Anolis sagrei: one gene and its partners. The protein of the gene in region 1 purifies or fractionates together with the protein of each later gene. This does not show direct contact. Links are inferred from orthologs where the notes say so. Each region holds a gene or a part of one and is shown in the gene's direction. Other genes may lie near its edges. The genes, in order: NXF1, E3 SUMO-protein ligase RanBP2, RANGAP1 and FYTTD1.

Region 1 (7,399 bases):
GACCTTAACAATGGCACAACAATAGTCTATTGATCTCCAGCCATGAACATATCTATAGATCGGTACTTGAAGTAGCTGCGAAATTAAGGGAGTTTGGGGCAGTATTATCTGCCCATCTCCGGTGAATTCATCCTTGGCAGCTCTTTCTCTACACATCAGCATTTTTGCAAACAAAGGCCCTTTGTAAAAGCAGGCACATAGGATTTTCAATAATTGAAAGCATCACTGAAAATTCCCTTTAAAAACTATGTCACCCTCAAAGGCACTCTAGAATTTTCCTTCAGCACCACAGTTCAAAAACATCATCTTCTTTCGCGCAACCTTCCTTATGGTCCAGTTCTTATATCCATAGGTTACTATGGGGAATACAATTGCTTTAACTATGCGGACTTCCATTCTGATGTCTTGACTCGTCACTCTTTTATTGAGATTGGTCCTTGCTCTCCTCCCAAGGAGGAAACATCTTCTGATTTCCTGGCTGCTGCCTGCAGTCTGTCGCTGCTTCCATGTTTTCTCCCTCTATTTGCCAGTTATCAATCAGTCTAGTTGCCATAATCTTCAGTTTTTTGATGTTTTAACTGCAACCCAGCTTTTGCGCTTTCTTATCAAGTTGGTAAAGTCCAATTCATGGTTCAGATATTCCTTGCGTTGGCTGCCAGAACCTCCACACCATCATGCATTGCGGTTTTCTCCATTTTGCTCTCCCCTCCCTTCTCATTTCCTTTCATTCCCTTCTTGTTATTCTTTCTTCTTCCCTTCCTCTTCCTCATACACATGTCACCTGGCAGCAGTCCATCTGCCTCACTCCCTTTCTTTCCCAGTCACATCACTGAGGGCCACTTCACCCAGCAACAATCCGCTTCCTTCCTTTTCTGAGCTTGAAAGGAGCTGTGGGGTTTTTTTAAAAGTTCAACCCCTTCAATTATTTCAATTAGGATAATTTATTTGTCATGTCAGGACAACCGGTCATATTATATTACATTTCTAACAGAACAAAGCAAACAAACAGAATACACAATTTGTGTGTTTGGTAGATGATTAAATGTCCTTTGACCAGTATCTGGCCACTTGGAGTGCCTCTGGTGTTGCTGCAAGAACGTCCTCCATTGTGCATGTGGCAGGGCTCAGGTTGCATTGCAGCAGGTGGTCAGTGGTTTGCTCCTCTCCACACTCACATGTCGAGGATTCCATTTCTGAAGGTTGGCTCTGCATCTCGTGGTGCCAGAGCGCAGTCTGTTCAGCGCCTTCCAAGTCGCCCAGTCCTCTGTGTGCCCAGGGGGGAGTCTCTCATCTGGTATCAGCCATTGATTGAGGTGCTGGGTTTGAGCCTGCCACTTTTGGACTCTCGTTTGCTGAGGTGTTTCAGCGAGTGTCTCTGTAGATCTTAGAAAACTATTTCTAGATTTAAGTCATTGACGTGCTGGCTGATACCCAAACAGGATGAGCTGGAGATGTCTCTGCCTTGGTCCTTTCACTATTGGCTGCTGCTTCCCGGCGGATGTCAGGTGGTGCAATACCGGCTAAGCAGTGTAATTTCTCCAGTGGTGGAGGGCGCAGACACCCCGTGATAATGTGGCATGTCTAATTAAGAGCCACATCCACTGTTTTAGTGTGGTGAGATGTGTTCCACACTGGGCATGCATACTCAGCAGCAGAGTAGCACAGCGCAAGGGCAGATGTCTTCACTGTCTCTGGTTGTGATCCCCAGGTTGTGCCAGTCAGCTTTCGTATGATTTTGTTTCTAGCACCCACTTTTTGCTTGATGTTCAGGCAGTGCTTCTTGTAGGTCAGAGCACGGTCCAGAGTGACTCCCAGGTATTTGGGTGCGCTGCAATGCTCCAGTGGGATTTCTTCAGAGATGGTGATCTTCAGGGCTTGGGATGCTTCTCTGTTCTTGAGATGAAAGGCACATGTCTGTGTTTTGGATGGGTTGGGGATCAGCTGGTTTTTTCCTGTAGTAGGCAGTAAGGGCACCTAGAGCTTCCGAAAGCTTCTGTTCTACCATCTCAAATCTCCCTGCTTGAGCAGTAATGGCAAGATCATCAGCATAGATGAAACTCTGTCCCTTCTGGCAGTGGCTGGTCATTTGTGTAGATGTTGAACATGGATGGAGCAAGCACGCTCCCCTGAGGCAGGCCGTTCTTCTGTTTCCGCCATCTGCTTCTCTGGCCCTGGAACTCAACAAAAAAAGCTCCTGTTTTGTAGCAGGTTTCCTATGAGGTGGGTAAGGTGGTCGTCCTTTGTGATATTAATTTGGATAATGAAGAGGTGTGTGTGCCAAGTTTGGCCCAGGTCCATCAAGCCAGGGAGGAGCCTTTGTGGTACAAACAAACAAACAAATGTTAACTTAGTCAATATAATTATAGGTTAGGTTCTTGTGGGTTTTTTTCGGGCTATAGAGCCATGTTCTAGAGGCATTTCTCCTGACGTTTCGCCTGCATCTATGGCAAGCATCCTCAGAGGTAGTGAGGTCTGTTGGAATTAGGACAATGGCTTTATATATCTGTGGAATGGCTGGGGTGGGGCAAGGAGCTCTTCTCTGCTGGAGGTAGGTGTGAATGTTTCAGCTGATCACCTTCATTAGCATTTGAAGGCCTGCCTGAGCCTGGGAAAATCTCTTGCTGGGAGGTGTTAATCTGTGCCTGGTTGTTTCCTCTCTGTTGTTTTGCTGTTGTAATTTTAGAGTTTTTAAATATTGGTAGCCAGATTTGTTCATTTTAATGGTTTCTTCCTTTCTGTTGAAATTGTCCACATGCTTGTGGATTTCAATGGCTTCTCTGTGTAGTCTGACATGGTGGTTGTTGGTGTGGTCCAGCATTTCTGTGTTCTCAAATAATATGCTGTGTCCAGGCTGGTTCATCAGGTGCTCTGCTATGGCTGATTTCTCTGCTTGGAGTAGTCTGCAGTGCCTTTCATGTTCCTTGATTCGTGTCTGGGCATTGCTGCGTGTGGTGGTCCCTATATAGACTTGTCCACAGCTGCATGGTATACGGTAGACTCCTGCAGAGGTGAGAGGATTCCTCTTGTCCTTTGCTGAACGGAGCATTTGTTGGATTTTCTTGGTGGGTCTGTAGATTGTATGTTGTGTTTCCTCATCAGCTTCCCTATGCGGTCAGTGGTTTATTTATTATTTATTTATTTACCTTACTTATATACCGCTGTTCTCAGCCCGAAGGCGACTCACAGCGGTTCACAACAAATACGAACAGCAAAAATTCAGTGCTACAGTATAGAAACAGTTAACAACCTAACACATTACACAATTAATAAACAGTTACTACAATACCCATTCACTGTCGTCTCGTCATCAAAAACATGTTCCAGATTCGTCATCCATTGTTCCATTCCAGTGTTCATTAACCAATCATTGCACTAATTATTGGAACGCCTGCTCAAACAGCCAGGTCTTCACCTTTTTGCGGAATACCATTAGAGATGGTGCTAGTCTAATGTCCGTAGGAAGGGCGTTCCACAGCCGAGGAGCCACCACCGAGAAGGCCCTATCTCTCGTCCCCGCCAGCCGAGCTTGAGAAGCAGGCGGGATCGAGAGCAGGGCCTCCCCGGAAGATCTCAAAGTCCTGGTGGGTTCATAGGCAGAGATGCGGTCAGATAGGTATCTTGGGCTGGAACCGTTTAGGGCTTTAAAGGCCAACGCCAGCACTTTGAAATCAGCCCGGTAGCAGATCAGTAGCCAGTGGAGTTGGCACAACAGGGGGGTTGTATGCTCCCTGCACTCTGCTCCTGTTAACATCATGGCTGCCGAGCGTTGGACTAGTTGGAGCTTCCGAGCTGTCTTCAAAGGCAACCCCACGTAGAGAGCGTTGCAGTAGTCTAAACGGGATGTAACCAGAGCGTGGACTACCGTGGCCAAGTCAGACTTCCCAAGATACGGGCGCAACTGGCGCACAAGCTTTAGCTGATGTATGGCAGGAACCCTTTTCCTCTGGGTGGATCTTCATCTTGACTCTCGTGGCTTGTTCTCGGTCTTGCAGCTCTTCTGATGTCTGAGGTGGAGTCTCCATTGGCCTGGCGAGCCCAGTTGAGGTGGTTCAGTTCATCTTAGTTAACTTAGCCAGTATAATTATAGGTTATTTTGTTAAGTTGGACAATGAAAAGCCTGTGTGCCTAGTGTGGTCCAGATCCCTGAAGCCATGGAGAAGGCTTTGTAGTACAAACCCACACGCATAGAAGCGTCACTCTCTAATCACCGGGCTCCATGTCCTCGGAGAGAAACAAGAAGGCTGGAGCCGAGTTGCGCGCGCATTCCGGGAAATGTAGTGGCATCTAGAACAGTGCGCATGCGCCTGGCGTAGTAACCTGCCAAGAGGCCCCTCACTCGCTGACGCAACTACGCATGCCTGGACCGAACGTGCTCACGCAAACGCCCTTCCGGGCATGCGCAGTGCCGTCAGCGAGTGAGGGGCCTTTCTTTCGACGCCTCTGGCTCGATTCGACCGGCTGTTTCTGAGGCGAAGACGCATCCCGTCGGCCTTGTGACGTCTTCCGCTGCCGCTCTCCACTTCTCCGCGCAGGAGGCTCGTGGAAGGCCCGTTCCGGTCGATGGCGGACGGAGGGAAAGGGGGCTACAGCGGTAAGGGCCTCAAGGGAGCCAGAGGCGGGTCGGGCGCCTGGGAAGGCCTCGCCGAGCAGCAGAGGCCCAACCAGACCTCCGTTGCGGTGAAGGGATTAGGCCTCTGAGAGGGAAGCTGAGCCTAAAGATCCTCGAGTTGGAAGAGACCCCAAAGGTCATCCAGCCCAGGCAGGAAGGAACTATCCAAGCCCTCCTGACAGATGGCCATCCAGCCTCTGAATCCTCCAGTTGGAAGAGGCCCCAAGGGTCATCCACCCCCGCCCCCTTCCGCCAGGCAGGTGGGCCCCACCAAAGCTCTCCTAAGAGATGGCCACTCAGCCTCCGCTTGGAAAGCTCCAGAGAAAGACACTTTCACCATCATTGTTATCAACTATTACTATTGTTACTATTGTTATGGAATCCTAGGGTTTGAATAATACCCCCAAGGGTCATTCAGTCCGACCCTCTGTCACGCAGGAAGACCCCAAGAAAGCACTCCTGACAGATGGTCATCTAGCATCCTTTTAAAAACCTCCAGAGAACGACATTCCATTATTGTTGCTGTTGTTGTTGAATCCTAGAGTTGGAAGAGGCCCCCAGGGCTATTAGAGCTTAAGACTCTCTGCACATTGCACTTGCCCAGAATATTTATTTATTTATTTACCTTACTTATATACCGCTGTTCTCAGCCCAAAGGCGACTTACACAACAAATACAAACAGCAAAAATTCAGTGCTACAGTATAAAAACAGTTAACAACCTAACACATTACACAATTAATAAACAGTTACTACAATACCCATTCACTGTCGTCTCGTCATCAAAAACATGTTCCAGATTCGTCATCCATTGTTCCATTCCTATGTCATTGCCAGTCATTGCACTAATTATTCGAACGCCTGCACAAACAACCAGGTCTTTAATTTTTTGCGGAATGCCATTAGAGATGGTGCTAATCTAATTGTGGGAAGGGCGTTCCACAGCCGGGGAGCCACCACCGAGAAGGCCCTATCTCTCGTCCCCGCCAGCCGTGCTTGTGATGCTGGCGGGACCGAGAGCAGGGCCTCCCCGGAAGATCTCAAAGTCCTGGTGGGTTCATAGGCCGAGATGCGGTCGGATAGGTAGCTTTGGCCGGAACCGTTTAGGGCTTTAAAGGTCAACACCAGCTGTTGCTGTTGTTGTTGTTGAATCCTAGAGTTGGAAGAGACCCCCAGGGCTATTAGAGCTTAAGACTCTCTGCACATTGCACTTGCCCAGAATCCCAACATATCACCTCTTACACCCAGCACTTTTTAACCTGTACCCTTCATTGGCCCGGCCCTGGTTTTATTGCGTAATAGTGTAATGTTTTGTTTTTGTTATTGCTTATGTTTTTAATTTGCTTGCATTGTATTGTTATTGTCTGTTGTTGTTGTTTGAGGCCTTGGCCTTTGTAAGCCGCATCGAGTCCTTCGGGAGATGCTAGCGGGGTACAAATAAAGTTTAATAATAATAATAATAATCATCATCATCCAGTCCATCATCATGATTATTATTAACTACTATAATTTTACTGACACAAAAGCACAGTATGTCACAGCAAACAAGATCCATATGCTGGATTTCGTATAAAAAAATCACAAGTTGAACCCTTCCCAAGCGTCTAGGACTGTGTAATGTATTTTTGGAAGATGCGCGCAGATCCAAGTCAGGTGGCCTTTTGCAGTTGACAGATTGTGATTTTGTCAATGTGTATTGTTTCCAAATGCCGGCTGAGATCTTTTGGCATGGCATCCAGTACACCAATGACCACTGGGACCACCTGTACTGGTTTATGCCAGAGCCTTTGCAGCTCGATTTTGAGGTCTTGATAGCAGCTGAGTTTTTCCTATTGTTTTTACTCAATACAGCTGTCACTGGTATGGCGACATCAATAATCCAGACCTTTTTCTTTTCCACAATCGTGATGTCTGGTGTATTGTGTCCCAAAACTTTGTCAGTCTGGATTTGAAAGTCCCACAGTATTTTTGCATGTTCATTTTCCACGACCTTTGCGGGTTTATGATCCCACAAAGGATCATAAATATGTGGTACTTGTGACATAAGTTCCATTGAATCATCTGGGCCACAGAGTTGTGTCTTTGTTTGTAGTCCGTCTGTGCGATTTTCTTGAAACACCTGAGGAGATGGTCCATGGTTTCATCTGTTTTCTTGCACAGTCTGCATTTTGGGTCATCCGCTGATGTTTCAGTCCTGGCTTTAATGGCTTTTATTCTGATGGCTTGCTCCTGGGTTGCAAGAATCAGGCCTTCTGTCTCCTTCAGTGTTCCATTCGTGAGCCATAACCAAGTTTTCTCCCTGTCAACTTTTCCTTCAATTCTGTTAAGGAACTGTCCATGCAATGCTTTGTTGTGCCTGATGTGAGCTCTGGTTTATCTATTATTATTATTATTATTATTATTATTATTATTATTATTGAATCCTGGAATTGGAAGAGATCCCCAGGGCCATCCAGCCCATCATCATGATTACTATATTATTATTATTATTATTATTATTATTATTATTGAATCCTAGAGTTGGAAGAGACCCCCCGAGCCATCCATCATCATTACCATCATCATCATCATTATTATTGAATCCTAGTTGGAAGAGACTCCCAGTGCCATCTCATCCAACCCCCTTCTGCTAGAAAAGAACACACAATCAAAGACATCCCAACAGATGGCCACCTAGCATCTTATTAGAAACCTCCAGAAACCTTATTAGAAACCTTCCTTCATCATCATGATTATTACCTATTACTGTTGTAGAATCCAACGGTTGGAAGAGACCACCCAGCATCATCAT
Region 2 (7,524 bases), on another chromosome or scaffold:
TTTAACTGACTAGTATACACAAGAGCGGAGACTGCAGTTCTCACATAATTGGAACACAATGACTCCAGAATGCATCATTTGAAGATGGCAAATCAACCCAGAAAATGGCAACAGAGTCCTGTGTATCTAAAATATATATAAACACAGAGCTACTTGAATATTATGGGAATTTTTCTGTATAACAGATACATATTCCTGTGTGCTTTTGTATTTCATTTCCTTCTTGTGCCTTATTCTGCCATATGTATGCAATATTAGCCAAAATAGCTATATACCGTTACCTTGTATTTTTATGCAGTCCATTCATGCCAAGGCCTTTCAAATGATATGGCATATACTCAGCCTTTTCAATGTCAATATTTTTAATGATAAAAGATAATTTTCAAAGCTAATTTCCTTTTTATTTTCTCAATTCACTTATTCCAGAATAGTACACAAAATAAAAATCTGAACGTGTACAGATTCCAACTGAGAGTGTTGTGTGTTAATTGGTTAATAAAATATAATTATTTCAGCTTCTTTCTTTGCTGGCTAGAGATTACATATAAGTAACTACAGTCCTCCATATATGCCATATACCAGTCTTTATCTTCTTGCCCATTAATCATGATGACCATATCTAAGAAACCAGAGATGGTGCGGTCTATCCAACTCACAACCTTGTGCATTTTCCTGCAGGAATCAGTTGTTTATCCCACATAAGGAATTTTTGGTTTAGAGATTTACATTATGTATCTTTGTTAAATATACTTTGCTTAGTACATTGAATGCTGGAGTACCATAGCATAGATATGCTATACATCCTTATGATTATATAACAGTATTACTTTTGGTGTATAGTAGCTTTTTGCTCTTTGTATTGCGGTCTATCCAATGCCATTTTCTGAATCAGAGCCCCAAATTACCGTAGGAATAAGTCCCAAGACCAAAGTGTTCATGGAATTTACTTCCAAATAATTGTATATAGGATTTCAAAGCTGAACTCAGTGGGAATAAACATGTAGGATTGTATTGTCATAAATTTGATTTTGCTACAAAATTACAAAGGAATGACAAATCTCATTCATAAATTAGTTTCAAATTTATAATTATGCTGACCTGATGGTTCATCAAGGTCCATCAGGAGAGGCAGATAAGAAATAAAATTATTATCATTATTATTGTCATCATCATATCACCATCATCACAATAGAAACAGTATCCAAAAATGATGTGGTGGTATAATAATAGCAATACTGTGTATAAAAACATTTTAAATATGTATTTAGTTACAATATTTTTATTCTGCCCTTCTCACCCTGAAGGGGACTAAGGGTGGATCATAGAAAACATATATATGGCAAACATTCAGTGCCAATTATAACAATGACAAGACAGGCAACAGATAGACGTATAGATGGGCTTTCCCATCTTCCAGCATCTTTGGACGCTGTGCTTGGTTCTGCTGTCGCTCCACCTCCCTGCCTCCCTGTTTAGAACTGGGTCTAAGCATTCATATCATAAATCTTGGTTCCAAAATTATACCTATCCCCAAAACTCCCAAACTATGCTATTAACTCTTCTACTACATATTATGCTGTTTCCTTGACAGTCAGGGAAACAGCAATAGTCTGGATGACCTATTTCACCAGTGGCCTTGGTAATGTCAATCCCCAGATATAAATTTCTCAGTGTCCTTTAGGCAATGTTCTTGCAGACGGCCAATTCTCTCACACCAGAAGCGACTTGCAGTTTCTCAAGTCACTCCTGACACGATAAAAAAAATCCCTGTCATGGGCTCTGTAATGTACCCACACAATAAAAAAAATCCCTCAATCACAGGCTCTGAAATGTACCCACAAGCTTTGTAAGCTCCTCAACGCCCAATCTCAATAATAACAGAACATACCTTGGGTCAAGAATCTACCGAAAATAAAGTTGTGATGGTATAAAACCGAAGACCGCTTTGTGGTGATCAGAGGTGAGACCAAGTTCTTACTTTATTTGGAAATTCATCATTCTTGGGTTAATGATAACACTAGCCAACACACATTTTGATGCCTCAAATGTTAGGCCTGTTTCAGGACATATTTGGCCTGCTGATTCAAAAACTGGCATCAGTTTCCCCCTCTCAGCTCAAGTTTTTGAGATACAGAACACATGCTATATATCAGCCTTCATCTGCTCGCCTATGAGAAATCATGGTAACCATATCTAAGAAACTAGAGCTGATGTGTTCTATCCAATGCCATTTTCTGAATCAATGCCCCAAATAATCCCAGAAACAGGCCAAAAAACGAAGTTACAATACTTTTTTTTTGTTGGTCTGTCTTACGGGTGCATCTACATTGTAGAATTAATGCAGTTTGACACCGGTTTAGCTGCCATGGCATGCAATCATGGGAATTGTATTTGGTGAGGCGCCAGGACTCTGTGCAACAGTTCCCCCGATTCTGTAGCATAGTTAAGGTTCTGTCATGCTTCATTAATTATACACCCTATGTGTATGTGTTTTCATACACTCAAAGAATTTAAATAATTTGTATAAAGCGACCCTCAAGCTATGTGAATCAGATATGAAACATTAACAAATTTCGCATTTAGACTTGGGTCTCATTTTCAAAATATGCCATTATATGCAAATACTGGTTCAGGCATGTGGGGGGGGGGGTTGAGGGGCTTCAGGGCAGGCCCGTAGCCAGGATTTCGTTTCGGGGGGGGGGGGGGGGGGCTGAATTTTTTTCAGGGGGGCTGAGTCTGAGTGAAAGAGGGTCTACCCTCTACCCTTTTGTATTATTACCCCAATACCCCCATGCATATGGGATATATTGAGTATGGTGATCAGATCATGATATGAATAAACATAACAGTTTAAATAATGCACCAGTAAGGCCTTTTCGCTGAAGCCCCCCGAGCCCCCCCCGAGCCCCCCCCCCCCAGCTACAGGCTTGCTTCAGGGTGGTCTTACTGGTACACTAGTTATGTTTATTCATAACATAACGGTGCTCCATGCAGTCATGCTGGCCACATGACCTTGGAAGTGTCTACGGACAACGCCGGCTCTTCGGCTTAGAAATGGAGATGAGCACCACACCACAGATTCGGACACAACTGGACTTCATGTCAGGGGAAAACCTTTACCTTTACCTATGTTTATTCATATCATCTGATCACCATGCTCAATATATCCCATATGCATGGAGGTATTGGGATAACGCTCCAGCAAAGGGTCACCGCCTTGTTGTGGCGCTGGAGCTTGAGCACCTCAATGATGTCATGAGCGAAACCGTGAAGGGCCACCCAAGACGGGACGGTCGTGGCAGAGAGGGCAGACCAAGCGTGATCCCTGGGGAAGGCAACGGCAAACCACCCCAGTATCCTTGCCAAAAAAACTAAATGGACCAGTACAACCAGAGATATGTTGGTATGCCATTGGAAGATGGGAAGATGACACCACTCTGATGGCCGAAAGCGAGGAGGAGCTGAGGAGCCTTCTAATCAAGGTGAAAGAAGAAAGAGCAAAAGCTGGGTTGCAGCTAAACATAAAAAAAAACAAGATTATGGCAACAAGAATGATTGACAACTGGAAAATAGAGGGAGAAAACGTGGAGGCCGTGACAGACTTTGTATTTCTAGGCGCAAAGATCACTGCAGATGCAGACTGTGGCCAGGAAATCAGAAGTCGCTTACTTCTTGGGAGGAGAGCAATGTCCAGTCTCGATAAAATAGTAAAGAGTAGAGACATCAGACTGGCAACAAAGATCCGCTTAGTCAAAGCCATGGTATTCCCTGTAGTCACCTACGGATGTGAGAGCTGGACCTTAGGGAAGGCTGAGCGAAGGAAGATCGATGCTTTTGAGCTGTGGTGTTGGAGGAAAGTTCTGAGAGTGCCTTGGACTGCGAGAAGATCCAACCAGTCCATCCTCCAGGAAATAAAGCCCGACTGCTCACTGGAGGGAAGGAGATAGAGACAAAGTTGAAGTACTTTGGCCACATCATGAGGAGACAGGAAAGCCTAGAGAAGACAATTATGCTGGGGAAAGTGGAAGGCAAAAGGAAGAGGGGCCGACCAAGGGCAAGATGGATGGATGGCATCCTTGAAGTGACTGGACTGACCTTGAAGGAGCTGGGGGTGGTGACGGCCGACAGGGAGCTCTGGCGTGGGCTAGTCCATGAGGTCACGAAGAGTCGGAGACGACTGAAAGAATGAACAACAACATTGGGATAACGATACAAAAGGTTTGCTAGGGTAGATCCTCACCCCCCCCACCCCACCCCCGAATCAAAATTCTGGCTACAGACTTGACTGGTATCCAAAAACCCGGAATCCCAAACTTCTGACCCCATTCACTTTGGGATAAGGGACCCTTAATATGTCTAACGGAACTCGGAAGGTTTCTCCCTACGCGAAGTGAGTGCATCCCTATTTATTTATCTCTATGGGCGCAAAATCGATAGGCCACACCCCTTCCTCGATACTATGAAGGAAGCGCGCCTTCTAGGCGCTTCCGCTCCACCGCTGCCCGTCATTTCCGTCGCGCCGCTGACGTAACAGACGTGTATTGAGGCCCGCGCGTACTGACGCTCGTGGTGGCGTCATTATCATCATCGTTCTTCGAGAGGGGAAGCTACGAGGCCGGCTCTGCGGGGCTCCCCACCCTCCTCCTCCTTTCTGGCGGCGCCAGGGCGCTCTGTGAGGGCCGCACGCCACCATGATGAGGCGCAACAGGGCCGAAGTCGACCGTTACGTGACCTCGCTACAGGCCTCGGCGTCTTCTCCCAGAGAGGTGAGTGGCGGAGTGCGGAGGGCTGGCTGGCTGGCTGGGTGGGGGCGTCTGTCTCAGGGAAGGGTGCCCGGCTCAGCGCTATTCCCGTCAAGGGTTCGCAGGAGGCCGCTGATTGGTGCGCACAACGTTCGCTTTTGAAGGCGTTCTCCAATGGGCTTCGGCGCGCGCCGGGCCCCTACCGCACACTCGCGCGTAAATGCGCCTCTCTCGGAAGGAGGGAAAGGAGGAGGAAGCCGGGCTGGGCCCCCGTGGTGTGGCTTCCCCTTTGCTCCTGTTTGCCAACACTTTTTGTGTAATTGGCGGGAACGCTCTTGAGTTGCATTTACACCACTATTAACAGCCATAGCTCCAATGCTATGGAATCCTGGGACCTGTAGTTTGACAAGGCCTTTAGACTTCCCTGCCAAACACTGCCAAAGTACAGGAGGATTGGAGATTTCTAGAGAGGTATGCTCTCTAGGAATTTCTAGGCCCTTGAGCACACTGCTTCTTAAACTCAGGATCCCAACCCTAAAGGAGTCGCTGTACCTCAGTGTTGGAATCATAGAAAATGTGTGTCTGAATGCCACCATTTACACAAATCTGTTAACAGTGTGTACTGTTTACAGTGGGCTCTGCAAAAAACGCTTCATCTGTATTCCACCAAAAGAAAAATAGCCTGTTTCACAAATTTTGCAAATGCTGATTTGCTATCAATAAATCTTTGTTTCTTATACCCATTTTATATACCTGGGGTAATATAAAAGTTTCTCAAGTGAAAAAGGTTTAAGAAGCCATTCTCTGTTACATCTCTGCAGTCAAACTCTGGCAGAAGTTACCATAGAGTCACACTGGAGATCTCAGAGTTTCTGGTAAAGGCAATAATAAAATCTGCAAATAGTCAGATCCATAAAGTGAACCCCACTAATGTGTAGGGTGGATTGTACATTCTCCAAACTCAACCCTAGCTATTTTGTTGACCTTTCACTTCCTATGTCAGCTTTTAAAGTATTCTATTAAAACAACATCAAATCTACAACAGCCTCAAGGCAATGCAACATAGGTTGCTGTTCGCTTCTCAATATTGTGAACGTTGCTCACGTGCAAATATCTGTGCGCTTGTTAGATTGGCCTCCAGTTGTCTGCTCTTAAATCATATGTTTCTTTTCCTCAAACACATTTAATTAGAACCCATGTATGATAATTAAAAGCTTATAGAAATTATGATGTTTGAAAATTTCTGTTTTGCAAGTTCTCACTGTAAATAATTTAATGGCTTTTCCATACTGAATTCTTGTCTACTTTGCAAGGGACCGAAGAGGCAAATTAGTTGCTTTATTTAAATTTAACTTTTGATTCTAGTTGTTAGTAGCAAGTATTCTGTTCATTGTTGTTTAAGGGTTTTGTTGAATGGATTGTTGAATGGATTAATCACCATTGTTCAAAGTATTGGTTCTAACACTCCTTGTTGTTTTTTAACCCTTTAAAATTGATAAACTGGCCCACATCCTTTCTAAATCACCAGTGGACCACTCCAAAAAACGTAACAAGTAAATATTACTCCTAATAACAAAAAATGATGTTTGATGTGTTAATTTTAAAAAATGATATTATTTGACCATGTTGCCCCAGAGCAACAAGTTACAGGTAGTAAGATGATTTCTTCCAATATGGAAAGCCTTCCATTGTTTTCACTTGTCTGAAAATCCAGTTTAATGATTGCCAACCTTGAACACACGAAACATTACTTAGTATCTATTTACAGTGTCCCTTATCCATGGCGCTTGCACCGGCAGTTTTATTTACCCATGTCTGGCAAAATATGTCCTCTCCAGGTATTTTCTAGATCCCTTAGCATGAGTTTATGGTATTCTTGAGCCAAATACCCATCATTTCAATAAGATTCGCTATTACTGTGGCTCCATGTGTCCAAGTGAAGTCCAGGAATGTGGATACACATCTCGTACTGTGTTGAATTTTAAACTAATGCAAAAAAAAAAACCTATGTTGGGCCAACAGAATATCTGATTGCACAGATCCCTGCTCTTAAAGTAGAAGGTAGCACATCAAAAAAAGAGATAGACAGGTTCCTCTTATATTTTTTGCATGCACTACTCCACTCTATTATCAGAACAGAGTTTTGCAAATTCACATTCTTCTCTGTGACACAAAAATCTTTAATTTTTTTCCTGTCTAGAAAATGAGAAACAATATTATATTCTCAACTTGGGTTCTGATAAATCACCATTCAGCATGCAGAATTCATCAATTCTGCAAAATCTAATGTTTGTCTCCATTGGCAATAACTTAAAGTGTCCTACCTAGGTAGTGGTCCGTTTATGTGGTTCTCAAGATGCCATTAAAAAGGGAGATGCTAACTGGATCTTCAGATTTAGCAGGAGATAAGACAGGTCTATAGTAAGTAGGATATCCCAGTTCAAGTCTCTCTGGCCATATAATATGAAATAAACATTTATGGCCAACGGTTGCTCAGGATGACTTGCAGTAAATCATAAAAATGTTGCATGTGTTAAGAATTGAATGTGACACGTAATTTTGCAACCACAAAAGAACTATTTGTAACTTTTAAAACTATTTAAACCAATACCAATCGGTATCGACTTAAATAGTATCTCTCAGAAATACAGTGTACTGCATTTCTGAGAGATCTATGTTCGCTTTTCTCTGTTATAAAAGGGCTAGAATGAGACATCTGTGACCTTTTTCATAATCGTTAAAAAAAACACCCCAGTAGCTTTTCCTTAACTTCCAATTTAGG
Region 3 (7,330 bases), on another chromosome or scaffold:
ACGCTTCCTTGCGGCCCCGCTGGGTCCTAGCGCTCACTTACCCAACGCTGCCCTCCATCCCTCCCATATTAGTGACTCCAATGTTGTTGTTGATGGTGATAATAATAATCACAGTAATAACAACAACAATAATAATAGTTAATTAAGGCCAGAATCGAAAAATCAGCTGATGACCCAAAATGCAGACTGTGCAAGGAAGCTGATGAAAGCATTGATCATATCCTCAGCTGCTGCAAGAAAATCACACAGACAGACTACAAACAGAGAGACAACTATGAGGCCCAAATTATTCATTGGAACTTATGTCAGGAGTACCACCTGCCAGTAGTAAATAACTGGTGGGACCATAAACCTGCAGTTCCATCTTGTCTCCTGCAATGTGCTTATAATATGATATAATATAATACAATATAATATAATATATTGTATATACATATAATATTGGTAATATTATAATGTAATACAATGTAATACTAATAATAATATTATAATTATATATTTTATATTACATGTAATATTACTAACAATATTACAGTATAATGTTATAGTACAATCGAATATATAGTATTAATATTGTGCTAGATCCGCATAGTTAAAGCAATGGTATTCCCCATAGTCACCTACAGATGTGAGAGCTGGACCAAGGGGAAGGCTGAGCAAAGGAAGAGATGTTTTCGAACTGTGGTGCCACAGGAAAGTTCTGAGAGTGCCTTCGACTGCGAGAAGATCCAACCAGTCCATACTTCAGGAAATAAAGCCCGACTGCTCATTGAAGGGAAGGATAGTACTGCTCATTGAAGGGAAGGATAGCACCGGGATTGTGGCGCAGCTGGCTGAGTGTCAGCTGCACTAAGATCACTCTGACCAAAAGGTCATGAGTTTGAAGCCAGCCCGGGCTGGAGTGGGTGTCCAGCCATTGTGTAGCCTGTTGTCGACCTTTGCAACCCGAAAGACAGTTGCATCTGTCAAGTAGGAAAATAAGGCACCACCTTGTGTGGGAGGCTAAATTTAACTAATTTATGAGGCCATAAAGAAAAAAGACTCCGGGGAATGTGGAATGCGGAAGAACTTCATCGGTGTCGCTGATGGACGATGAAAAGCAGCAGCTCCCCTGGCGGCCAGAAAAAAGTTAAATAGCCTTGGTGTATTTGTGTGTTAAACGTTGTTTGTCAAAACTGGCACTGAATGTTTGCCATATATGTGTTGACTGTAATCCGCCCTGAGTCCCCTGCGGGGTGAGAAGGGCGGAATATAAGAACTGTAAATAAATAAATAAATAAATAAATAAATAAATAGTAGAGGCCAAGATTAAGTACTTTGACCACATCATTAGAAGAAAGGAAAGCTTAGAGAAGACAATTATGCTGGGGAAAATTGAAGGAAAAAGGAAGAAGGGCTGACCAAAGGCAAGATGGATGGATGGGATCCTTGAAGTGACTGGATTGACCTTGAAGGAGCTGGGGGTGGTGACTGCCAACAGGGAGCCGGACACAAAGAGTCAGAAACGACTGAACAAATGAACAACAACAAAATGGTAATATAATATATTGTATTTACTTTTTACATGTAAGCCGCTCTGAGTCTCCTTCGGGGTGAGAAGGGCAGCATATAAATGTTGTAAATAAATAAATAAATAATAGTGTAAATGTGTGTGTGTGTCAGGAGTGACTTGAGAAAGTGCAACTTGTTTCTGGTGTGGGAGAATTGGACATAAAATAATATTTGGACATAAAAAATTAAAAATGATAATACAATAACATTTATATTAAAAACACTCATTTGGAGAGTACGCAGGAATATCCTGTCACCTGACATCAATTTTCTTGCGGCTGATAATCCTTTTTTTAATGCATGCACAAATATTGTTTTACCTATGAAAGTAATCATTGTGCTTTGTATTTTTTCACAGATCTCTTGCTACATTCATATGCAGAACAAAAATACATTTATATATATTGTATAACTTGTAATGCCAAAAGAACAGAGAGGAGTGGAAGTGTTTGGAATTAAAGCTGTCTCAGTTTTCTTTGCTTATGCACTCTCTAATGAACTCTATGCTCTCTCCATTCCTTCCTCTTTCTATTAATGGGATTTCCCCCTCTTCATAGTCACCAGCTGATTAATGTGTATATTCTAATTTTAATGTGTATGTCACCATATGTGTGTGTGTATGTATGTATATACTGTGGGCTACTGAAATGATCAAAGGTCTGGAAACCATTAATCCCTATGAGGAGCATCTTAAAGAAATGAGTACGGTGTGTTTATACTGCAGAAGAGAAGACTGAGAGGAGACATGATGGCCATGTATAAATATGTGAAAGGATGTCATAAGGAAGAGGGAGAAAGCTTCCTTTTTGCTGCCCTGGAGACTAGGATTCAGAGCAATGGGTTCAAATTACAGGAAAGGCGATCCCACCTGAACATTAGGAAGAACTTCCTGATTGTGAGGGCTGTTCAGCAGTGGAACTCACTGCCTTGGAGTGTGGTGGAGGCTCTTTTTTGGAGGCTTTTAAACAGAGATTAAGATCTTATTGGGAGGCCCTGTTCTCAGTCTCGTCACCATCACAGTGATTGGCGGGGATGAGAGACAGGGCCTTCTCAGTGATTGCCTCCCTGGCTACGGAACTCCCTTCCTGGCAAGATTAGATCAGCCTACTCCCTCCTGTCATTCAGAAAGATGGTAAGAGCTTGGGTTTTTGCACTGCCTTTGGAGCAGTGCAATAAGGCAACAACAGAAAACTTTACACTGCCAACCAAAGTCAATATGGCTGTTTTGAGACGATTTTAAATAATTGATTTCAAAGTGGGATAACGGATTTTAATGTTTATGTTTTTTTATAGTTTATTTATGTTCTGGCATTTAATGTTTGCCGTATATGTGTTGTGCTCTGCCCTGAGTCCCCTTCAGCGTGAGAAGGGTTGGAATGGAAATGTTTTTTAAAAATAGATAAATGAAATAGAGGCTGGATGGTCCTCTGTCGGGGTGCTTTGAATGTGATTTTCCTGCTCCCAGGCAGGGGTTAGACTGGATGGCCCACAAGGTATCTTCCAACTCTATGATTCTGTTGGCCTGCTTCTTGAAAGCAATACTTACAGAGTAATTCTATTGACTTTGGGTGCATGTACACCAGGCATAGGCCAACTTGGGCCCTCTAGGTGAGGCTGAACCTGGAACTCCCTGCCTTCAAGTTGATCTGACCCACAGCAGGGAGTTCCTCAGTTCTCCATTGCCCCGCTTGGGCCAACCGCATGAACGTGACCACAGCAGCAGCTGCAACTCAGAAGCCTTCTAATTTCTTTGCCTTTCCCCCTTACTAACATTGTAATGAATCCCCCCAATAAAAAGTATGAATTAATTGTAACTTTTTTCCTCTCCATAGTGTTACTTTGTGTCCCTTTACTGCCTCAAACTTCTCTTTCGATAAACCTTTCTTCTCCCGGGCTGCAGATAACTGCCGGCCCTCCCGGAATGCGATTTTCGCATCCCGGGGAGGCCGAAACTGCACTCCCTTAAACAGCGGGTATGGAAACCCTTCGGGGCCCCGTATCTGCGAGTCAACGGATCGCTTCTAAAATTGTGTCATTCTTCTCCTGGGAGAATTCTAATACTAATGGCTATCTTAGTTTTGCTCTGCTGCCCCGGGAATAACCTTTTTAGCCTCTAAAACCCCAACCTGGCGTCCAGCTGTTTTTTCAAAGATGTTGCCTTGCGGGAGCCTCTAAATTCTAGCTCGATATCAGGAGTTGAAGTCCAAAACACCTGGACGGCCCAAGTTTGCCCGTGCCTGGTCTACTGGCTGTTAGGAATGGTGGGAGTTGAAGTCCAAAACACCTGGAGGGCCCAAGTTGGCCTGATCTACACTGTAGAATTAACACAGCTTGAAATCACTTTAATTGCAGTGGCCCAATGGTATGGAATAATGGGAACTGTAGTTCGGTGAGGTACTAATACAGTACTCTTTGGCAGAGAAGACTAAAGATCTTAAACTACAACTCCCAGGATTCCATAGGATTGAGCCCTGGCAGCCAAAATAGTTGTCAAACTGCGTTAAGTCTAGAATGTAGATGGGCACAAAGAAACAAGGAAATTCCGTCTTCTACACAAGGTCCAGGAGCCTTCTCTAGTCTAGAACCCAATTGGTAAGGAATGCTGCTTCCTGGTGCCTTCCTCAAACGGCTTCAAACGTTTGGTTATTAAAAACTACAACTCCCATGATGCCTCGCGACAAAGGCGGCTGCGTCGCGAGGCACGAAATTGTGACCTCCCCCTCCCGCTGCCCACCCGCCTCAGTCTCTGAGCCACCCCTGGCTGCACGAGGAGGGCCTCTGGGAGGACGAGGAGGAGGACCAAGATCCACTCTGCGCAAGCGCAAGAAACAGAAGCGCTAAGACAGCGAATCACCATCCAGGAAACAAAACTGCCGGCTTTCAAATCCTCCGCCTCCTGCTAACGCCATCCTCCTCCCCCTCTTCTCCAGAGGCAAGAGCGCGGCGACGTGAAGGGCTGCGATCGGGGGACTCCGCAGGTTCGTGGGTTTGATTTATTGGAGCACGTTTGACTAAACGGCGGAAAGAAGCGTGGGAGGGTGAGTTAATTATTTTTGTTCCTCTGAAATAAAGTTTCCTCGCGTTTCCCGGCAGTTTGAGGAAGGAAAGACACGCTGGCGTTTGGCCCCAGGGCTACACGTGTGGGCGCATCCACACGTCGTCACGGTACACGTGTCCTGGGCTATTACAGACCGGGATTGGAAAGCCTATCCAAAACTGATCAGTTTCTTCCGTGTGTGACGTCACGCCCCGTGGGACCAAAGGCCTGGGCAAACATGGGCCTTCCAGGTGTTTTGGAGTTCAACTCCCATCATTCCTTACAGCCTCAGGCCCTTTCCTTTTCCCCCTCAGCCGCTTAAGCGGCTGAGGGGGAAAAGGAAGGGGCCTGAGGCTGTGAGGAATGATGGGAGTTGAACTCCAAAACACCTGGAAGGCCCAAGTTTGCCCATGCCTAGTCTACACCGTTGAATTAATTAAGTTTGACACCACTTAAGGTGTCTCAGTGGTGTGGTATCATGGGAGCCTCAACAAACTACAACTCCCATTGAGCCTTGGCAGTTCAAGCAGGACCAAACTTCATTAATTCTACAGTGTAGATGATTATATAAATGATGACAAAAATAAATTGGAAAATGCATAGGAAAGGGATAGTAGTAGTAGTAATAATAATGCTCAGATGATTCATTGGAACTTGTGCCACAAATACCATCTGCCTGTCACAAAGAACTGGTGGGATCACAAGCCGGGAAAAGTTACAGAGAATGAACATGTCAAACTCCTCTGGGACTTCTGGATTCAGACAGAGTTTTGGAGCACAATACTCCTGACCTCATGAGTATGGATCGTCGATGTTGCAATCCCAGGTGACAGCAGGATTGAAGGGAAACGACTGGAAAAGCTGACACGATATGAGGATTTAAAGATCGAACTGCAAAGACTCTGGCACAAGTCAGTCAAGGTGGTCCTAGTGGTGATCGGCACACTGGGTGCAGTGCCTAAAGACTTTGTCCTGCACTTAAACCCAATCGGTACTGACAAGATTACCATCTGCCAGCTGCAAAAGGTCACCTTACTGGGATCAGCACACATTATTTCCCGATACATCACACAGTCCTAGACACCTAGGAAGTGTCTGATGTGTGATCCAATACAACAGCCAGCAGAGTGATCTTGTCTGCTATGGACTCATCTTGTTGTGTTTCAAATAATAATAATAACAATAACAACAACAACATTATTTGTATTCCACCCTTTCTCCCTGAGAGGACTCATGGCGGATTCCAGCATAACAATGGCAAACATTCAATGTCTTCATAAAACACACAATACTAATACGAATAGTAGGGATATCAGATCAGCCCCCAACCTCATAATATTTCGTAAAAAAGTTAAAACTTGGCTTTTTGTGCAAGCTTTCCTAAATGCAGTGTAGCAGACAAACTGATCTTTGGAACAACTGGACAATGCGATGAGATAATGATTTTAGTAATGAGACGCTGAGGATTTATACTTTTATGGGTTTTATTATTTTATTTAATGTTATTTATGCTAAATGTATTAATTGTTTTTACGTTATTGTGAATATCAAATTGTGCCATTTGCCCTGAGTCACCCTTGGGCTGAGATTGCAGGATATAAATATGGTAAATAAATAAGGAACCCCCAGTGGTGTAGTGGGTTAAACCGCTGAGCTGCTGAACTTGCTAACCGAAAGGTTGCAGGTTCGAATCCAGGGACTAGTGTGAGCTCGTGCTGCTAGCCCCAGCTTCTGCCAACCTAGCAGTTTGCAGTAGATCAATAGGTACCACCCTGGCAGGAAGGTAATGGTGCTCCATGCAGTCATGCCAGTCACATGACCTTGGAGGTGTCTATAGGCAATGCCAGCTCTTCGGCTTAGAAATGGAGATGAGCACCAACCCCCAGTCAAGCATTGTTAATGTCAGGGGGAAGCCTTTACCTAGTAAGAATAGTGAGGAATCAGGAGCGGCTCATTGCCTCCATATAGTAAAAAAGTTGATATATGATTCGTGATTTCCATGAATAATTAAGAAATAATGCAGTTGCAGTCCTTTTTGAATTTCAGAAGCGATCCTAGTTGGATGTATTGTTGAAGGCTTTCATGGCCGGAATGACTGGGTTGTTGTGAGTTTTCTGGGCTGTATGGTCATGTTCCAGAAGCATTCTCTCCTGACATTTTGCCTGCATCTATGGCAGGCATCCTCAGAGGTTGTGAGGAGGTCTGTTGGAAACTAGGCAACTGCTAGACCATTAAATCCTAATCAAGGTGGCCAGTTGAAACATTCACACCTACCTCAAACAGACAAGAGTTCTTTCTCCCACCCTGGACATTCCATAGATATATAAACCCCATTTTCCTAGTTTCTAACAGACCTCACAATCTCTGAGGATGCCTGCTATAGATTCAGCTGAAACGTCAAGAGAGAATGCTTCTGGAACATGGCATACAGCCCGGAAAACTCACAACAACCCACTGATCCTAGCTGGCCTTGTGGATTAAGCGCAAGTAAAAGCCAGTAAATACTACACAATACTGGTCCTATCAACTACAAATGGGCTGCTCCATCTCCAAATTGCATTTCTGACAATGCAGCCAAACTCTGTGGGTCAGTGGAAACATGTGAGGAAAAGGGACCTTTTGAAATAATGTGTGTTTAGCGCTTTGAAAGAGATTACTAGCAGTTTTTGTATTGTGCTCAGAAATGCTACACAAAGCTGTTGTACTGCAGTTGCAAAGGGATCCCTTACGTAAACACAAAGT
Region 4 (8,090 bases), on another chromosome or scaffold:
GGGGCAGGACTGTGAAATCTGGAAGCCCCTAGTCACAGACTGGCACATGGGCGGTGGGTACGGACTCAGTCGCTCTACCTCAAGGTCCGAGGCAGTTGAGTAGTTCGGCAGCTGTATCCGCGACTGAGCAGCCCTTTTTAGGACCCACTCTGCTCACCCCACACGGGGAGGGGGCTAGAAAAGGTGCCCTAAACATAGTCTGCCTCACTTATCCCTGACTGGACTGCCGCGTCCAGTGGGGTCACCACCCTGCGGCCAAAAAAGGAAAATGAACTTCGGTACGTGGAACGTACGGACTCTGATGGACAACAGTGACAGTGAACGCCCCGAACGCAGAACTGCCATCATCGCAAGGGAGCTGGGACGCTTCAACATCGACATAGCAGCCCTTCAGGAGACCCGGAGAGCAGGAGAGGGACAGCTGAAGGAAGAAAAAGGAGGCTACACCTTCTTCTGGAAGGGACTGCCCGAAGAAGACCAAAGACTGCACGGAGTTGGCTTTGCCATCAGGAATGATCTGGTGAAACATCTCTCCGAAGCACCCACTGGCATCAACGAACGACTCTCAACCCTCCGAATTGATCTTGCCAAAAACCAACGGGCAACCATCATAAGTGCCTATGCACCAACACTAGACGCTGATGAAGACATCAAGGAGAAATTCTACTGTCAGCTGGACAACGTCCTATCGGGGATACCTAAGGAGGACAAAATCATTCTCCTGGGGGACTTCAATGCAAGAGTCGGGCGAGACTTCGACCTGTGGCCAGGCACCATAGGAAAAGACGGGGTTGGAAACAGCAACTCGAATGGCATCCTGCTTCTCACCAAATGTGCGGAGCACAACCTTGTCATCACCAACACGCTCTTCCGCCAGAAAAACAAGTTCAAGACATCATGGAAGCACCCACGGTCAAAGCATTGGCACCTCTTAGACTATGTAATCACACGTGCCAGAGACCGCCGTGACGTACTCCTCACAAGAGCCATGACAGGTGCTGACGACTGCTGGACCGACCACAGGCTAATCCGATCCACGATGGCTATCAAGATTGCCCCCAAGCGCAGACTCCAAGGAAGAAAGACAAGGCGCAAAATGAACACCCAAGCCCTTCAAGAGCCCTCCAGGCGAGCCCATCTCCAAACAGCACTCAAGGACCATCTACCCACAGTACACCCCGAAAATGTTGAGGAACACTGGAACAAACTGAAGACCTCCATCATCCAAGCCTGCGAAGAATCTATTGGATACCAAGCCAAGAAACATCAAGACTGGTTTGACGAAAATGACATCGAGATCCAACAGCTAATCGACAAGAAAAGGAAAGCCTTCCAAACATGGCAGAGAGACATCAACTGTGCTGCTAAGAAAAAGATCTACGCCAGTGCAAAAGCTGAGGTCCAAAGAAGGACAAGAGAACTCAAGAACATCTGGTGGACAAAGAAGGCTGAAGAAATCCAACACCTGGCAGATACCCATAATGCTCAAGGATTTTTCAAAGCCACAAAGGTCATCTATGGGCCAAGAAACCATGGCATACAGCCTCTACGCTCATCAGACGGAACCAAACTCCTGAAGGACCAAAAGTCAATTGCACTACGTTGGAAAGAACACTACCAAAGCCTCCTAAACCGCAGCTCCAGTGTGGCCGAAGAGGTCCTCTCACAAATCCCGCAACAACAAACCAGGGATGAGCTTGCAGCACTGCCTAGTTTGGAAGAAGTCAGCAATGCCATCAGCCAACAAAAGAACAACAAAGCCAGCGGACCGGATGGGATCCCTGCTGAAATCTTTAAAGAGGGAGGACCTGCGCTGACACACCAACTCCACCAGCTCATAGAAAAAGTGTGGGTGACCGAGAAAATCCCAGCAGACTTCAAGGATGCCACCATCATCACCCTCTTCAAAAAAGGGGAAAGAACAGACTGCGGAAACTATCGAGGTATCTCCCTTCTAACCTCCGCTGGGAAAATCCTCGCAAGAATCCTTGCAAACCGCCTTCTGCCCCTCTCAGAAGACACCCTCCCAGAATCCCAGAACGGCTTCCGCCCCTCCAGAGGAACTGTGGACATGATCTTCACTGCACGACAACTCCAAGAAAAATGCAGGGAACAAAACCAACCTCTGTACATGGCATTCATCGACCTTGCAAAGGCATTCGACACAGTGAATCGCAGCGCTCTCTGGACCATCCTCCACAAAAACGGGTGCCCAAGCAAATTTGTGAACATCCTGCGGCTCCTCCACGATGACATGATGGCAACAGTCTTGGATAGCAATGGCTCCCAAAGTGACCCATTTAAGGTGGAATCGGGTGTCAAACAGGGATGTGTTATTGCCCCAACTTTATTCTCCATCTTCATCGCCATGATACTACACCTTGTTGATGGGAAGCTTCCCACCGGAGTGGAAATCATCTATCGGACAGACGGCAAGCTATTTAACCTCAGCAGACTGAAAGCCAAAACCAAGGTCACAACAACATCTGTTATAGAACTCCAGTATGCTGATGACAATGTTGTCTGTGCGCATACAGAAAAAGATCTACAAGCCACTCTCAACACCTTTGCAGAAGCATACACAAAGCTTGGCCTGTCACTGAACATCGAGAAAACCAAAGTGCTGTTCCAGCAGTCACCAGCCGCCCCCTCTCCAATGCCAGAGATACAGCTTAATGGCGTAACATTAGAAAATGTGGACCATTTCCGCTACCTTGGCAGCCACCTCTCCACCAAAGTCAACATCGACGCCGAAATACAACACCGCCTGAGCTCTGCCAGTGCAGCATTTTCCAGAATGAAGCAGAGAGTGTTTGAGGACCGGGACATCCGTAGGGAGACCAAGGTGCTTGTCTATAAAGCTATTGTCCTCCCAACCCTGCTATATGCCTGTGAGACGTGGACTGTCTACAGACGTCACATGCAGCTCCTGGAACGATTCCATCAGCGCTGCCTCCGGAAAATCCTGCAAATCTCCTGGGAAGACAAGCGGACAAACGTCAGCGTGCTGGAGGAAGCAAAGACCACCAGCATTGAAGCAATGGTCCTCCAACATCAACTCCGCTGGACCGGCCACGTTGTCCGGATGCCTGACCACCGTCTCCCAAAGCAGTTGCTCTACTCCGAACTCAAGAACGGAAAACGGAATGTTGGTGGACAGGAAAAGAGATTTAAAGATGGGCTCAAAGCCAACCTTAAAAACTCTGGCATAGACACTGAGAACTGGGAAGCCTTGGCCCTTGAGCGCTCCAGCTGGAAGTCAGCTGTGGCCAGCAGTGCTGCAGAATTCGAGGAGGCACGAGTGGAGGGTGAAAGAGAGAAACGTGCCAGGAGGAAGGCGCGTCAAGCCAACCCCGACCGGGACCGCCTTCCACCTGGAAACCAATGCCCTCACTGCGGAAGAAGATGCAGAGCAAGAATAGGGCTCCACAGCCACATGCGGACCCACAAGGAAACCCATGATGGAAGACCATCTTACTCGTCCAACGAGGGATCGCCTAAGTAAGTAAGAAGTAAGTAAGTTCATATCTGTATTTTATTAATATAGATAGATAGATAGGGCTGGTCCATATCTGTATTTTATTAATATAGATAGATAGATAGATAGATAGATAGGGCTGGTCCATATCTGTATTTTATTAAGATAGATAGATAGATAGATAGATAGGGCTGGTCCATGAGGTCAGGAAGAGTCAGAAACAACTGAACGAATGAACAACACAGATAGATGGAGAGATAGAGAGATAGGTAGATAGATAGGTAGGTAGGTAGGTAGGTAGGTAGGTAGGTAGGTAGAGAGATAGGTAGAGAGGTAGGTAGATAGATAGGTAAGTAGGTAGGTAGGTAGATAGGTAGGTAGAGAGATAGATAGGTAGATAGATAGATAGATAGATAGATAGGGCTGGTGCATGAGGTCAGGAAGAGTCAGAAACAACTGAACGAATGAACAACGCAGATAGATAGATGGAGAGATAGAGAGATAGGTAGATAGATAGGTAGGTAGGTAGGTAGAGAGATAGGTAGAGAGGTAGGTAGATAGATAGGTAAGTAGGTAGGTAGGTAGGTAGGTAGATAGGTAGGTAGAGAGATAGATAGGTAGAGAGCTAGATAGATAGATAGATAGATAGGGCTGGTGCGTGAGGTCAGGAAGAGTCAGAAACAACTGAACGAATGAACAACGCAGATAGATGGAGAGATAGAGAGATAGGTAGATAGGTAGGTAGGTAGGTAGGTAGAGAGGTAGGTAGATAGATAGGTAAGTAGGTAGGTAGATTAGGTAGAGAGATAGATAGGTAGAGAGCTAGATAGATAGATAGATAGATAGATAGGGCTGGTGCATGAGGTCAGGAAGAGTCAGAAACAACTGAACGAATGAACAACGCAGATAGATAGATGGAGAGATAGAGAGATAGGTAGATAGATAGGTAGGTAGAGAGATAGGTAGAGAGGTAGGTAGATAGATAGGTAGAGAGATAGGTAGGTAGGTAGATAGAGAGAGAGATAGGTAGATAGAGAGAGAGATAGGTAGATAGGTAGAGAGATAGGTAGATAAGTAGAGAGATAAGTAGAGAGATAGAGAGATAGATAGAAGACATGCCTTTAAGTGATTGCAGGACGCTGCAATACTCCTCCTGGCCAGCAGGGGGAGCTGAGCTCCTTTGAAGGCCAAGGAGGCCGGTGTAAGACGCGCACGCGCAGTAGCCCTAAGCAACAAGCTCCTCGCCCGTCCCCTCTTCGCGGGGCCGGCGCACGCGCAGGAGGCGTTGCCTCCCCTGCCGGCTCGAGGCCACAACCGGCGCGCGTGCGCACTGCGGCGCTCGCGCATGCGCAGAAGGAGGCGAGCACCATCGCCTCACGGTTATCTCTCTCTCTCCATCTCTGTGTGTGAAGCGCTTGGCGAGAGAGGCCTTTCCAGCGGCCATGAACGGCTTCGGCGGCGGCGGGGGCAGCGCTGGCCTCGGCCCGCTCCGGAGCACCGGCGGAGAAACAGTTGAAAAAATCGACATGTCGCTGGGTGAGGAGAATTTAAAAGCTTGGGGCCATCCATTTGTATCAGAAAGGGGGGGGGGAGAGAATTGGGCCTGTGGGATGTACCATTGGAAGCAGAGCGGAGGGGAGGGCGGCTTTGGAGGATTCCATCCCGAGGAAGGAGCGAGAGGGAACGTTGGCGCCGCCCCCACGTGGGCGGGGCCGAAATTGATTGGCAGCTCCTGCAGGGAGGGGGCGTGGCCTTATATTAGATAGAGGTGTATATATATATATAGGCTTTCCAATCTTTGACATCTTGGAGGCTGTGCTCAGTTCCAGCCACGTGGGGGATCAAATCACCGGCATTTTTCTCACATTTCCTTATAAAGCGGTACTTATTTATTTATTTATTCCACGACATTTATTTACGACATTTTATATGCCACCCTTTTCACCCTCAAGGTGAAAAATGTAAACAACATAGATTTTCAGATTTGGTTTCAACCTGCTTTCTGAAAAAGCAATTAAAGCATTAGTATAAGTCAGCCATAGCAGAGCACCTGATTAACCAGCCTGGACACAGCATATTATTTGAGAACACAGAAATGCTGGACCACACCAACAACCACCATGTCAGACTACACAGAGAAGCCATTGAAATCCACAAGCATGTGGACAATTTCAACAGAAAGGAAGAGACCATGAAAATGAACAAAATCTGGCTACCAGTATTAAAAAAACTCTAAAATTACAACAGCAAAACAACAGAGAGGAAAAAAACCAGGCACAGATTAACACCTCTCAGCAACAGATTTTCCCAGGCTCAGGCAGGCCTTCAAATGCTAATGAAGGTGATCAGCTAAACATTCACACCTAACTGCAGCAGGGAAGAGCTCCTTGCCCCACCCCAGCCATTCCACAGATATATAAACCCATTTTTCCTACTTCTGACAGACCTCACTACCTCTGAGGATGCTTGCCATAGATGCAGGCGAAACGTCAGGAGAAATGCCTCTAGAACATGGCTCTATAGCCCGAAAAAACCCACAAGAACCCATTAGTATAAAATTAGACACTAATTTTTCGTATCTCTAGCAGTATTTAAAAAACACTGAAAGTATAAGAACAAAGCTTAAATATCTAGAACTCTGTGGTCTAGAAGATCTGGATCATGTTTAACAGACGAAGCGGCTTACAAGATATATTATTATTATTATTAAACTTTATTTGTACCCCGCTAGCATCTCCCGAAGGACTCGATGCGGCTTACAAAGGCCAAGGCCACAATACAACAACAGCACAACAAAACAACTCAAAGCAAAATCAAAAACATAAAGCAATAACAACAAAACATTACACCATGACACAGTAAAAAACTAGGGCCGGGCCAAGTAATGGGTACAGAATTAAAAAGTGCTGGGTGTGACAGGTGGCATGTTGGATTTCAGGGCAAGTGCAATGTGCAGAGAATCTTAAAATTCTAATAAAGTGCTTCTGGGACATAATGCTGGAGTTTAATAATATATATATATATATACACACACACACACACACAATATATTATTTATGGGTTGCAGCTAAACATCAAAAAAACCAAGATTATGGCAACATGAATGAATGATTGACAACTGGAAAATAGAGGGAGAAAATGTGGAGGCCGTGACAGGGTTTGTATTTCTAGGTGCAAAGATTACTGCAGATAAAGACTGGCCAGGAAATTAGAAGACGCTTCCTTCTTGGGACTGACCTTGAAGGAGCTGGGGGTGGTGATGGCTGACAGGGAGCTCTGGCATGGGCTGGTCCATGAGGTTACGAAGAGTCGGAGACGACTGAACGAATGAACAGCAACAACAACCTTTATTTATTTATTTATTTCACAGCATTTTATATGCCGCCCTTTATTATTATTATTAACTTTATTTATACCCCGCAAAATCTCCCGAAGGACTCGATGCAGCTTACAAAGGCCAAGGCCGCCAACAACAACAATATACAATACATAATAAAACTCATAAAAAATAAAATAAAACTCATAAGCAAATAATAAACCTCAAGCAAACAATAAAACAGTAAAACGATGACACCGTGACACACTTTAAAACCTACAGGCCGGGCCAAATGTAATAGTTGTTGTTCATTCGTATAGTAGTCTCCGACTCTTCGTGACCTCATGGACCAGCCCACGCCAGAGCTCCCTGTCAGCCATCACCACCCCCAGCTCCTTCAAGGTCAGTCCAGTCACTTCAAGGATGCCATCCATCCATCTTGCCCTTGGTCGGCCCCTCTTCCTTTTACCTTCCACTTTCCCCAGCATCATTGTCTTCTCTAGGCTTTGCTGTCTCCTCATGATGTGGCCAAAGTACTTCAACTTTGTCTCTAGTATCCTTCCCTCCAATGAGCAGCCGGGCTTTCTTTCCTGGAGGATGGACTAGTTGGATCTTCTCGCAGTCCAAGGCACTCTCAGCACTTTCCTCCAACACCACAGCTCAAAAGCATCGATCTTCCTTTGCTCAGCCTTCCCTAAGGTCCAGCTCTCACATCCGTAGGTGACTACAGGGAATACCATGGCTTTGACTAGGCAATGGATCTTTGTTGCCAGTGTGATGTCTCTACTCTTTACTATTTTATCGAGATTGGACATTGCTCTCCTCCCAAGAAGTAAGCGTCTTCTGATTTCCTGGCCACAGTCATAATAATCATAATAATATTAATAATAATAATAATAGACAGAATTTAAAAGTGCTGAACTTGACATGTAATATGTAGAGGTATTTGGAGGTAGGTGCAATGTGCAGATAATCCTGAATCTCTAACAAAGTGCATTTGGGACTTGAAGCCGGGAGTTTCCTATTCTGGAAAGGCACACTGGAACAGCCAGGTCTTCAGGCTCTCCCTAAAGACTGCCAATGTTGGGGCTTGTCTGATGTCCCTGGGGAGAGAGTTCCAGAGTTCCCTTTTCACCCTCAAAGTGAAAAATTTAAACAACATACATTTTCAGATTTGGTTTCAACCTGCTTCTTGAAAAAGCCATTAAAGCAATTAGTATAAAATTAGACACTAATTTTTAGTATCTCTAGCAGTATTTAGAAAACACTGAAAGTATAAGAACAAAGCTTTAATAT

The links.
Region 2: the proteins of NXF1 (region 1) and E3 SUMO-protein ligase RanBP2 purify together in Homo sapiens (co-immunoprecipitation; 5 studies listed by BioGRID and IntAct, with this or other methods). This does not show direct contact. The link is inferred for Anolis sagrei from reciprocal best matches to the Homo sapiens genes NXF1 and RANBP2.
Region 3: the proteins of NXF1 (region 1) and RANGAP1 purify together in Homo sapiens (co-immunoprecipitation; 3 studies listed by BioGRID and IntAct, with this or other methods). This does not show direct contact. The link is inferred for Anolis sagrei from reciprocal best matches to the Homo sapiens genes NXF1 and RANGAP1.
Region 4: the proteins of NXF1 (region 1) and FYTTD1 purify together in Homo sapiens (affinity purification with western blotting; 3 studies listed by BioGRID and IntAct, with this or other methods). This does not show direct contact. The link is inferred for Anolis sagrei from reciprocal best matches to the Homo sapiens genes NXF1 and FYTTD1.

What each region holds. Positions count from the first base shown.
Region 1 is NC_090032.1:12,370,386-12,377,784, reverse strand, and holds the start of NXF1 (nuclear RNA export factor 1), read left to right. Parts: upstream 1-4,375; 5' UTR 4,376-4,560; coding exon 4,561-4,591; intron 4,592-7,399.
Region 2 is NC_090023.1:107,223,137-107,230,660, forward strand, and holds the start of E3 SUMO-protein ligase RanBP2, read left to right. Parts: upstream 1-4,514; 5' UTR 4,515-4,691; coding exon 4,692-4,766; intron 4,767-7,524. UniProt on the Homo sapiens protein: E3 SUMO-protein ligase which facilitates SUMO1 and SUMO2 conjugation by UBE2I. Involved in transport factor (Ran-GTP, karyopherin)-mediated protein import via the F-G repeat-containing domain which acts as a docking site for substrates.
Region 3 is NC_090025.1:161,610,771-161,618,100, forward strand, and holds the start of RANGAP1 (ran GTPase-activating protein 1), read left to right. Parts: upstream 1-4,319; 5' UTR 4,320-4,529; exon of another isoform or gene 4,530-4,589; intron 4,590-7,330. UniProt on the Homo sapiens protein: GTPase activator for RAN. Converts cytoplasmic GTP-bound RAN to GDP-bound RAN, which is essential for RAN-mediated nuclear import and export. Mediates dissociation of cargo from nuclear export complexes containing XPO1, RAN and RANBP2 after nuclear export.
Region 4 is NC_090023.1:267,833,365-267,841,454, reverse strand, and holds the start of FYTTD1 (UAP56-interacting factor), read left to right. Parts: upstream 1-4,809; 5' UTR 4,810-4,920; coding exon 4,921-5,014; intron 5,015-8,090. UniProt on the Homo sapiens protein: Required for mRNA export from the nucleus to the cytoplasm. Acts as an adapter that uses the DDX39B/UAP56-NFX1 pathway to ensure efficient mRNA export and delivering to the nuclear pore.